Linked DNA regions of Nothobranchius furzeri. The protein of the gene in region 2 interacts with the protein of the main gene of each other region in a pairwise test. Links are inferred from orthologs where the notes say so. Each region holds a gene or a part of one and is shown on either strand. Other genes may lie near its edges.

Region 1 (3,651 bases), on a different chromosome or scaffold from region 2:
GAGACTAAGAGCATTACATATAAGTGACATCTCCCTCAGCCAGATGAATCCTGCTGACCACATACGGTCAGTGGTGGAAAAGGACAGAGCTCTGGTGGGAAATCTCCAAAAAGCCTCAGAGACAGTTCCCTCCACATGGTCCCTAGGCATCTACAGTCAGTCAGGAAGTGACAGGACTTTCTAGGTGTTTAGATGCGTGTGATACTGATTATATGTTTATAGAGACAACTAGGCAGCTTTGATTTAATAACTCACAAAGTTAATGTGTAAAAACTTACATTTCCAATAGATTTTGATTATTGAAAAACAAAAATTCCTCCACCAAGAACCACCTCAAACATCTTAACAATCCCTCCACTTTTGCCAAACAATCAGATAGCTTTAATGATCAACCGTTTTTTTTTTTTTACAGAAGGATGTAATAAACGTTCAAACTGAGGATACGACAATTTCACTCCACGTCCATCTTGTCCTCAGAGAAGAAAGCCTGGAGAGTCTTGCCCTCGGAGATGTAACGAATGCACTCAATCTCACCACCGCTGTTGCTGGGCTTCTGAAAGTGGATTTCAAGGTGGTCCTGCAGGTCCTCCTCATCTTCTTTACCCCCAATGACGTCCAGAAGGATGGTTCGTTTTACAGAACCACAAAATGTCTGGAACACACAGATGAGATCTTAGTTAAGAAGTACTCTGTACAAAAATATGAACACAAAACTTTGTTTTTGCTCTTATTTTTCATGAGTTCAACTCAGAGATCTGAAACATTTACTATAAACACTAAAGACCCATGACTCTCAAATAATGTTCACAAATCTGTCCAAATCTGTGTCAGTGAGCACTGAGATCATCTATACCACCTCACAGATGTGGCATACCAAGGTGCTGATTAGCATGAATCTGCACAGGTGTGCCTTAGACTGGCCACAATAAAAGGCCACTCTGAAAAGTGACGTTTGACCACACAGCAGAATGACATTAATGTCACCTGCTCATTAATATGAGCAGGTGGACAACTAACACAGATACATTTTATTAATGGCATTTTGTCCCTGGGCAAGACACTGAGTCATTTATCATGTTTCCTCTTGACTGAGAACATGAGGGTTAGGGAGGTGTTACCGCAGATCAGGAGCAGGACTCATCAGATCTGAACCAAGATGATAACTGATGTTAACACGTTCAACCGTCAGTTCAATCTGAAATTGTTTTCAGATTTTAATATTATGTCTCAGGTTTTGCAGGAATTCTGATGTTCTCTGGCTTAGATCTCATTGGGACACGTGCTCCTAATCGAACTAGTGTGTGAAGGACTGGCTGTTCTTTAATAAACTTTCCTCACCTGAAACTTTTGCAGATCATATCTATATGTTGGTTCAACCTTCAGGTGTTCTTCATGTTCTAGATCAACGATGTAATCTCCTCTCATGGCCAGGTCCACAGCAACTACAGATAGGTGTTAGTCATAACACACACACACACACACACACACACACACACACACACACTGAAATGAGATTATTCCATATTTTCATGTGTGTCTCCTAAAGTCGCCAAAGGCCTTCAGATCTGTAGCTAGTGAATTATTAGAAAAGTACTGGAGGGGCCTGAATACTTTCTAAACACAGCAACAAGTGGCTAAGCTAGCCACACCGGTAGCTAGTGGTTTGAAATAGTATTTTTGCAGCTGTAGCATCACCAGACCAAACAGAATCAGGAAGCAGCAACAGATAAAAAGCATGTCAGAGCGTTGACCTAATAAGCAGATTAAAGCTGCCTGTTACCGAGGCAGAACCTGATATAACGGATTTTCTGCTGAATGAAAAATGCGTACACAAAACCTGTCCAAGTTAACCACGACCTACAGCAACAGCAGAAGTATGTAGGTAAAAGTACCTCCAGGATGTAGAAATATCACGCGTCCCTTTCTGCTCTCCTCATCGTAATCCACACTCTCCACCTCTCCTCCACCCCGGCTGCTTTTAGAAAAACTCATCTCCAGTCTGTCCTTTATCCTCTCCTCTGGCATGGAAGGAGGGACATCCAGAACTTGTAGCTCCTTCCTGGACATATCAAGGTGGACCTACATCCAAATCACTATTAGAAATGAGGTTCTGATGGTAATAAGAGAAGCCCACCCCATCCTCACACCTGACCTGCAACCCAACCCAGCATCCCACCCAAGAATCCCATTCCAGCTTTCAATCCCAGAATTTGTCCTAAAAGTGGAACTGGGCTGTAATCTAACTTCTTTACAGACAGAAGGATTGTGGGTATTTATCTTGTGCAGATTACCAGCGCCTCAAATAGTGTGCAAAAGTTTTAGGCAGGCACGAAGAAATGCGGTCAACAAAGAATGCATGCAAAAATATAAATGAAGATCTTTTTATTTTTTTTTATCAATTTACAAATGTCACAAATGAGAACTTTTTGAAGCAGCTTGTTTTAGGCACATAATAAATAATAATAAATAATAGCTTACTGCCTTTGTGTGGTTACCTGTAATCTTATTATCTTCCTCTTCCTTTTTAAGTGTGTGTGCTGCTGTAGCAGGTGAATTTCCCCACTGTGGGATTAATAAAGTCTATTCTATTCTATTCTATTCTATTCCCCAAACCAATCTCTGACAGAAAACGAATGGATGGATTTTTTCACGTTTAGAGTGTTTATAGACAGTAGAGAACCAAGCGGCAGCACAAAAGGATTCAAAAGGTGGCATTTGCATACCGTATGTCTCCTTTAATAAATAGATACTTTATGATTTTATTTCATTTTTATTTACTGCGTTAACAACATAAATCATATTTGATTTTAGATTAAATTAGTTTTTGAATATATATAGTTTTGTTAAATCCTTATTTTAAAGGTTGAGTTAACTGAAAAACCATTTTTAATGATTAATTCTGATTATAAACAGTACCTCTGGGATTTTCCTGTAAGCTGAACATGAAAATAGTCTCCTACACCCATCTCCTGCATTAGCTTCTGATAGAACATAGACGATCAAATTTTAGGATTAGAAAATCCTGACACATCTACGTCACACTGTCACCTAACATTTATGGACTCACCCATCTTGAATCACGACGAAGAAGTTTGTTGTTGGTTTTGCGTCCAGAGATCAGCAGCGGAAATCTCGGCTAGTTTAAGCTAACTATTAGCATTAGCAACTTCACCACACAGCAGAACTCCTTCAGGCTTGTGTTATTGGTGGAGACAAGATATCCACATTGCAAGTCAGTGGTAGAGTCGTGTTGCTGTTATCCAATCTGGTGCGAGATGTCCAAATGTCAGGAAATGAGACTCCTGCACCTGCCGTCTGAAGCTCAGTTGTGGTGTGGGAAATGTTTAGATCTGAGAAAAGGTGAACCGGTATACCCCCCCCCCCCCCCCCCCAAGAGAATAACTTACGAGGCATTCAATCCTACTAGAGACCACTGCAAATGTACTGATTAAATGAGCGAACCACTCCTTTAAGTCGCTGTGAAGTATCTGAAACGTTACCTCAAACGTCACAGGTGTTTCCATGGTGATTCTTTTAGGTTTGACATCCAGAGAGGAGTCCTCACAAGTCACCCGGCAGTGGGCCATTTTCAGGATCTGAGAAGCCACTGGAGGACCAAAAACACCACATACTCGTTTTCACCAGGAACAA
Region 2 (4,113 bases):
GCTGGATTCGGGGCTGCCTGGTAGGTGCTAATGATGTCCTCCAGCTGTTGGCCCAGGTCTTCTGTCAGGTCGATGTGGTGATCCTCGACCGGAGATGCCTCGGGACCGGTGGGGGCAGTGCTGCTCTCCTGACAAGCCTCCATTATTCTGAGCTAGTAGCAACACAAAGGAGACAGTTGCCTCTGCACGAGAGACCAAAAATAAATCATTTACAGACAGATCACGGCTGCTCTGTCTGTTATCTCACAACAAAAATGCTTTGATCACTTTTTCACATAAAAAAAAATCTGTTTTCATCGTTGAATTAAACATCATATCTGAGGTTTTATAGAAACAGTCTCCCCATTACAAACAAAAAACATGTTAGGATTTTTTAATATTAGTGTCACGATCTGCCCCTGCCCAACCTGACTGTGTTCCTCTCCTGCCGTGATTGCCCTTATTGTTCTCACCTGTCCCTCGTTTACCTGCCCATGTTTCCCTAATTAGCGGTCCATCATCTCCACCTCCTACACCGTGACAATTAGTTTGTGTAGCCACATCTGATTTATTTGTACAATTTAGGCCACTTTAAAAGTGGTTTACTGGAAAGAAAACCATAAAAGATCATAAAAGCGGGGGTTCCGCTTTTTGAAGTGTTTCTCTTAAAAGGCCAAAAGCAATGAATATCTTACATCCTCCATAAAGCCTTTTGGACAACATCAGTTAGGACGGGTGGACATTGTGTGGCTTTCACTCGTAGCATTCAGCTCCATCTCAAACTGGATGACTTCCTCGCAGAGCAAAGCTCACATGTTCTCTCACTGTACTGTTCACACTGTATGTGTGCTAGCAACACATCGGAGCTAAAATATGCTACAAATAGTCGTTTTTACGCAACATGTCAGACTTTCGATTTCTAAAACCTGTTGTGTTGTTACTGGTGGGTTTTTTTTCAGCATTTATTTGGAAAAATGAACATATTCAAACTATGTTATTAATGTGTGTTATCCTTCGGGCTTGCCATAGAAGGACAACATGGGGTTTATGGGGGTTTGAGAAGGAAGACAAAAGAAAGGAAGTAAAACAATGTTTTATTTGGCATAAAACACACTTTCTTGACAATCCTTGTCACTGTGTGTAGAGAAAAGTATAAAAATAAGTAATACAGCTTGAGTTGATACGAAAATAGCTGACGAGCCGTGTTGGTGCATGCGCTGTGTGAGCAGTTCTGGTACTTTTGGCTCGCAGCGCTGTTCCAACAGTGTGATAACCTCACGAGGGATGAGGAAAATATCAAACATGTTTGATATTTGTGCAATTACTGATTGGGAGCTGGTCGTGCGGTGCTAATCGCCTCTCGTAATCCCTGTATACTACTGGACACACAACACCAAACTCGCCTCAACCTCAAAGATTCTCACATGAGAACGCCTGGCTTTAAGAGGAACAGAAATTATCTCTGGTATGACAAACAAGCTGGTCTACCGTAGCCTTTTAAGCATTTAATTTCAGAAATGCTAAAGCAGCTAGTTTCTGCTGCAAACCACCAGAGTCTTATGTAGTTAATTCACACTAACTACTGTGAGGCTTTTGAGATATTCCTAATCAGTCTGTGACTTGCCCCACTGAGATCAGCATTTGTCCAGTCAGAACTCATCTCTGCTTCTCCAAACTGAGGTTGTTCAGTGCTATCCACAACAGCTACAGTATCCAAACCTGTGATGTTTAAGAGCAACAACGAGTACATTTACAGCCTGAATTTTTGTGTGTTTGATGCCTAAATTAGCAGCACTTAAATGATAAAGAAATCTTCAACTATGTAACCTGACATTAAAATCAACACCTTGAAATTCAGTCTAAAAACCTCATATCAAGTGTTTTTCCTCCATTTGAGCACCTTGCAGATCCTAACAAGATTTACAGAGAAAACTGGTTGGAGATTTCACATACATATTGTTGAGTGAAATCATAACAGATTAATCAGAATTAAGCAGATTCCACCACCAAGAAGCTTTTCTTATTTAAATATTCTATGCTGCTGAAGTTGTTTTTGTTTATTAGACTAAAAACATAACTTTGGTGCACATTTCTTTTGCAGAAACAGAAATACGCACCAAATAATGCTCTAGATGAAATATCTGAATGCCTTTTTTTTATATGAATTTCAATGTCTTTGCAGCAGCGAGGTGATAAACCCGAACAAAGCTTTCCTGGTGTAGTAAAGTCCATCATGCTTGTATCTGTGGAGTCGTACTCGCAGCCAGAGCCTGTTTAGATGCATATAATTAGCTTTCACAAGAAGAGCAAATGGCACCTGTTCCAGACCCACAAGCTATTTTAGGAACTTCTTAATATGGGCATGTTGTTTATTATTTAATTCTATTCCACTCTTTTTTTATGTCAGGGTCAGTGTTTCTTGAAAACATCTTTTTATTGTGGTTAAACTTCAAATAAAGACAAATATCTCTGATCTTTTAACGCTTTTATAAAGAAGTACATGTTAAAATGGAAATTTTACAGAGCTATGTGTAGGAAAACTCTTTTAACTATGCAGCGTTTCATTAGAGGTTAAAATGTTCCCTTTTCTCTCACCAGCAGACAATTTTAACTTCTGACAGCAAATGACGCAGGAAAGTCTCACTGCAATTAACAGCATCTCATCTTCAACAGACTTGGCAAACTCCAAACCGCCACTGGAGTCAGTCCCACGTTTGTTAGACGTGTGAGACAGATGTTAGGAAACCAAGAATTCTATGTTATTTGTGTGCAAATATCAGAAAAGAAGCAGGGTAAAGAGCAGGCAGGGTCTTACCAGGACTGAGGGCCAGATGGGGAACAGAAAGAGTGTGGAGGGGCTCGGACAGGCGGCCACCACTGATGCAACAGCTGTGATAAGAGCCCCTCAAAATAAACCAGGAGAGAGCAGCTCACTGCTCAGAGAGGGAGGACGCTCTGCAGCTCATCTCTGCTGCAAACCTCAGAGTAAAACTCGTTATTTGGTGTTGCACCTTTGCTACTTTAGATCAACGCAGTGCTGATTTAATTTTAAGCTTCGCTCCTATTAGTCATGAAAAGAGACTGAGCAGGAGAGAAGAGAAAACGCTGTTTCTCAGACTGGCCTGATAAGCCTTTCTTTCAGTTTTTTTTATTTTTTTACACAATCTGCTGATTTTGAGCTGACAGTTAAATTCTGAAAGCGGCTGAAAACTATCTACAAGGTGAACACTACTTTTGGAAGCACCCATTTTATTTTACCTCCACGCTGCAGCTGCAGTATTCAATTTTCGCCACCAGATGTAGCTATTACAAGTTTCACACTGGAGATATTTTTTTTCTGCCTCCCTAAAGACAGAAAGTGAATGATGGGCTCTAATTTAAACAGTTGTGAACCGCACAGGTGGAATGATAATGAGAGACCGATGTAGTTGGGGAGGGAGATAATCCAGCATCATTATCCAGCTCAGCACCATTGAAACTGAATATTACTCTCAATAATTATATTTCACGTTGTAAAAAGTAATAAACAGACCACAAAAAATTCTCCTCCTTCTGATTATATGAGATTAATATCTGTTGACAGGGCCCAATGTCTAATTTAATTCTTTGATGTAGGAATCCATTTTCTAAACGTGGGGAAATAAATATACCATATCTAAAATTGAAATCATCTTTTGGGGGGGGGGGGGGGGGGGGGGGGGCACCGGTGCATTTCCAGGAACCAAAAGTGAGCCTCATCACAGCTGTCTTATTTTCTGACATTTGGACATTTTACCTCAGATTACTTAACAGCAACGCACCTCTAACACTGACTGGCTTTTCTAATCCTTGTTTCACCATAGCAGGACATATGTGTGGGAGACTATTTTCATGTTCAGCCAGCATAACTTAGTGACTGATCAGAAATAATAATAAAAAATATGTTTTCAGAGTTAAGGTTATAAATCTGGCCACGTGCAAAGTAGCAGCTACGCTAGGGAGATGAGATTCTGCGCCGACGTCATATTTGCAAGTTTGCAACTTCTGCTTTGTAATTTTTTTATTTATGACTTTTTTAAGCAAATAAATCTCAAATTACGTGACAGACATAGTCAAAACACATAATTATTTATCATTTAAATTGAAGTAAAACAT
Region 3 (4,118 bases), on a different chromosome or scaffold from region 2:
TCATTGTGCAAACATGACATACATCTCATCACAAATGGCGCAAGCCTGTCTTGTTTGCACAGTAACGATGGGAATTAATCAGCGAGACCCAATCTATACTTCAGTTTAAGTCTGACCACTTTGGTGTAAAGAGGAGTTCATGTTTGACTCAGTCACTGCAGAAATAAGCCCAAATCATCAGCCCCCTGCCACCGTGCTTTACAGAGGACAGGAGGTGTTTGAGCTGACCTGGTGCACTGTTTTAACCAAAAGTGATGGCTTGTTTACTGACCTCGGCCTGAACTCTGTGCTGCAGACTCAGGAAATCTGCCCTGAAGGTTTTCCACCTTTCTCACTGTAAATATGTAACGTCACACTTCTGGATAGGATTTTACAATCCTGTCAGAGTGTGAGGAGGACAATCAAAATCCAATCCGATCACTATGCAAACAAAGCAGCCAGTAACAAACATACTTCTTTGAAGGTTCTCAAAACTAAAAGTCTATCCTTTACAACAGGAGGGGAATGTTGAGCCTTTTTTGTACGTAAACTCCAAAAGAAAACAAAACAACAGTTGCGTTGACGGCAGGTTTCTACTTGTTGCATCGACCAAAGAGCTGATGACAATCTACATTCCGACTTAAAAAGAAAAGTTCAACTGCCGATTTTTGGCATCACAGACTCCCAAACAAGAAAAAAGACACAAAGACTGTTTTGGCATTCATCGTGGCCGATTGAACCTGCATGTCTGTTGCAGGTGGGTCTGAACTCCTACCTCTGAGGAAGAAGGTGGTCCTGCTGCTACACCGTTAGTTAGGTTCTGACCGATAGTACTGGGTCCTTTAGTGTGGGAGGCCTGCTGTTGGTTGAGGCCCTCTACTGTGACGTCCTCCAGTCCAGGAATAGAGGACAGCTGCTCAGAACAATGTCACTGCATAAGTGAAAAGACAACATCCAGAAACGGTATCAAGGTCTCACAAGTTACCTTAGCCTCTAAAATGCTGAGTGTGGTTTCAATCTGCTGTATGCGAAGAGAAATGTTTGCAAGTTTCTGTGAAGAGAAGTAAAAAAAATAAATAAATACATAATTTGAGTTCATATTCTGAGGCAGAAGAAGCATTAAGGAGTAAAAAACAAACAAACAAACACAAACCTCTTCACACACGGTGGAAAACTGGTTAAGAAATCGTACGGTGTGCACAACAAACTGGTTGAGAAATCCAACGATTCGTCTCTGCTGTATTGCAGGAACCTGAGAAAAGATAAAAGCAGTATAATTAAAAACTTACCAAGTGTTACTATAGTTTATTTTACTAAACATAAACCTCTAGTATAATTGATTTTTGAATGTTATGGCTTTAAATAATATTGAGGGGATTCTAAAATGACTTTTAACTACTGCTGTTAAAATGTTTTTTGTAAATCTTTATTGAAACAAAGCAGTACAAAACAACAATTAACACCAGGGAGAATAAACAACATCTACATAAACAGACCAGGGTCATGTGTTAGCAGTGTTATTTAAACAACACAATAACATACAGTAACCTGTGGATTATTGCAAAGTTTCAAGTATTTGAGAGAATTTTAAAAGCAGCTGAGTTCTACCTTTAAAGTCTTGCATCAAACAAAATGCTAATGGCAAAAAGAATGATGAAAACTATCAAATCTGATTTTCTGTGTTGGGTAGTTACTAATTATATTTACTTGAGTATTTTTAGGAAAAAGAAATGCAACATTTTAATTAAGTCTTTACATTATATAATTTATCATATAACATTATACTATTATCTGTTTGAATGGATTTTATAAATTAAAGGAGCTGTTATGATTACTCATTATTTGAGCAGCTTTTTTGCAAACACAGTTTTTGTACTTTTTTTTAACTACTCAAGTAAACATATATGAAAGTAATGCTACTCTTATTTGAGTATAATCTCTGGCTACTCTACCCACATGTCTGACTTTGCATATAATGGATGCAAATCGGTGTGGAGGAAAAACATTTGGAATAACAGACTACTGTATATCAGGTGTTGTGCCGAAAAGAGCACGCCTACCGAAATGTGTATCCCCGTCGAAAGACGCAAATTGAAGAAGAATTTGAATTATGAGCAATTCAGAATTTGAACACGTTTCTAATCCGTGTTTCTCCTGAAAAGATTTTGTTTTTGACTACAAATATGATGAAATAATGATTAAATAATTGACCTTTTTCAACACGTTTGACACTAATGTTTTAGCAAGTATTAAACAATTTTGTTGGTTTAAAAAAGCAGACTCAAAATGACTAACCTTTTATATGTGCATTATATTACTTAAAATAAAACATGTTATAAACAGTAGTTTATTTTACTTATTTGCTCATAAACCATCATTTTGTAAGGAAGGATGCAGCTCATGTTGTACACATTTATTAAAAAGCGGTCTCATACGCGCCTTCCCGCAGGGGATGCACATTTTCGCAGACAAGCTCTTTTCGGCACAACACCGGTAATAGAATCTAATGAATGATGTATTCAAATAGAACATCAGTGTTCGGAGAGAAAACGTTCTTTCCTCTTTTGATACTTCTTTAGAACAAACCAAAAGGAAAATGACTAGGCAAACAGTTACAAGTAGGTGAAATTAGTTAGAAAAAGGCCACAGTTTTCTCTGCATTAGTGATTATATATTTTGTTAAAAAGCACAAACATAGCTTTGGGTTCTCAGGTTTTCAGTGTTAGCTAACCAGTTAGAAACACAAACCTTCGTAAGATCGACTCCTGACCCGACTAACGGCAGGCCGTCCTCGTCCATGTTAGCGTTTTACACTTCCTGTGAATAGGAATGTGGTTTCAGGTCTAATGGCACGAAATTTGAAAGAAAAAATGACATGAAACAAAACATTTACACCGTTGAAGGCTTCACGTGACACTGAGCAGTGTGACTGGCTACGTGATTACGTCACTCTAGGAAAAGGAAATGATTAACTTTTATTTTGAAGAGGCATCAATGCACTCGAATTCACACTTTTATATTTCGAGCTGTCGAAATTTTCTAAACTTTTTCTTTATCTAGTCATTGGCTTTGAAGTAAAAAAGAACTTGAAAATAATAGCATTCTGAAATTCATTAGAAAACACCAAAACACGTCTTTCAGACATATATTTTGAAAAGCGGAAACTTGAGTGAATACTTGAGGAAGCGATGCTTGCGCTCTAATAGCGCATTAGCCACCAAAACAAACAGCACAAATATACACAGATTCCTCAAATTCACTTGGTGGGATGCTTTAATGGAAGTTGTGGAATCAAAAGAAAAAATGGAGGGTATGTATGTTACCAGTTTGCCTTTCTGATATTTTCTGGAGACGTGTTTGTTTTACTATCAGTGGGCTCTGTCTATTTAAAGGAACCACAATGTTCATTATTTGGCAGACTGTTGTTGTTGCGCAGTGGAAGTTAGCTTGCTGTTAAATGTACAGACACTCTTACGCGATATATTGTTTTAACTAAGTTGCGAAGCTTTTGAGTAACATCTGTGGACATTTTCCAGATTGTGTATCTAAAATGTTAAAGATCTGTCCAGGATTTTCTCCAGTTCAAAAGCCTGTAGCTCAAATTCAATTCAAGTTTATTTATACAGCGCCAAATCACGACAAGAGTCGTCTCGAGGCACTTCACATAGTTAACATTCCAATACAGGTCAGTTCATTAAGCCAATCAGGAAAAAAAGTTTCCTATATAAGGAACCCAGCAAACTGCATCCAGTCACTGACTGGTCTCAGTGACTTTAGCAAGCAAGCAAGCAAATGACAGACAACAATGTAACAGATCACGTGATTGTTTTATTGCTTGATTGTTTTTAATTATCTGTATGAAGCCAATAACTGTTTCAGTTATGTGTAAAATGTGAGAACTTTGCAAAATCACATCGTGAAAATTTTATCCACCTGCTGTTTCCTGCAAGTACTCTGAATGCTCTCTGAATTAGGGGGTGTGTTACTGCCCTCCATCGGTCATTTCTGACTTTACACATTAATGTTTCAGACCCAAACTTCCCTTTGCCCTCCTTTCGCCTCCTGGTGCCTCCCTTGCATCTTCTGTCTGCTGCTATGTGGAATCTGATGAAGGGGAAAGATGTGATGAACTATGGGAA

The links.
Region 1: the proteins of txlnbb (region 2) and nmi interact in binary tests that used the Homo sapiens proteins (3 or more experiments, as listed by UniProt). The two-hybrid records come from large-scale screens. The link is inferred for Nothobranchius furzeri from reciprocal best matches to the Homo sapiens genes TXLNB and NMI.
Region 3: the proteins of txlnbb (region 2) and washc3 interact in binary tests that used the Homo sapiens proteins (3 or more experiments, as listed by UniProt). The two-hybrid records come from large-scale screens. The link is inferred for Nothobranchius furzeri from reciprocal best matches to the Homo sapiens genes TXLNB and WASHC3.

What each region holds. Positions count from the first base shown.
Region 1 is NC_091746.1:33,689,344-33,692,994, forward strand, and holds part of nmi (N-myc-interactor), read right to left. Parts: intron 3,608-3,651; coding exon 3,501-3,607; intron 2,080-3,500; coding exon 1,893-2,079; intron 1,443-1,892; coding exon 1,339-1,442; intron 653-1,338; coding exon 452-652; 3' UTR 1-451. UniProt on the Homo sapiens protein: Acts as a signaling pathway regulator involved in innate immune system response.
Region 2 is NC_091758.1:20,072,682-20,076,794, forward strand, and holds the start of txlnbb (taxilin beta b), read right to left. Parts: upstream 2,918-4,113; 5' UTR 2,795-2,917; intron 183-2,794; 5' UTR 144-182; coding exon 1-143. UniProt on the Homo sapiens protein: Promotes motor nerve regeneration. May be involved in intracellular vesicle traffic.
Region 3 is NC_091741.1:43,372,226-43,376,343, forward strand, and holds the start of washc3 (WASH complex subunit 3), read right to left. Parts: upstream 2,914-4,118; 5' UTR 2,779-2,913; coding exon 2,728-2,778; intron 1,232-2,727; coding exon 1,133-1,231; intron 1,031-1,132; coding exon 965-1,030; intron 893-964; coding exon 755-892; intron 1-754. Other genes in the region: uncharacterized protein, read left to right, coding at 3,256-3,289, 4,010-4,118. UniProt on the Homo sapiens protein: Acts as a component of the WASH core complex that functions as a nucleation-promoting factor (NPF) at the surface of endosomes, where it recruits and activates the Arp2/3 complex to induce actin polymerization, playing a key role in the fission of tubules that serve as transport intermediates during endosome sorting.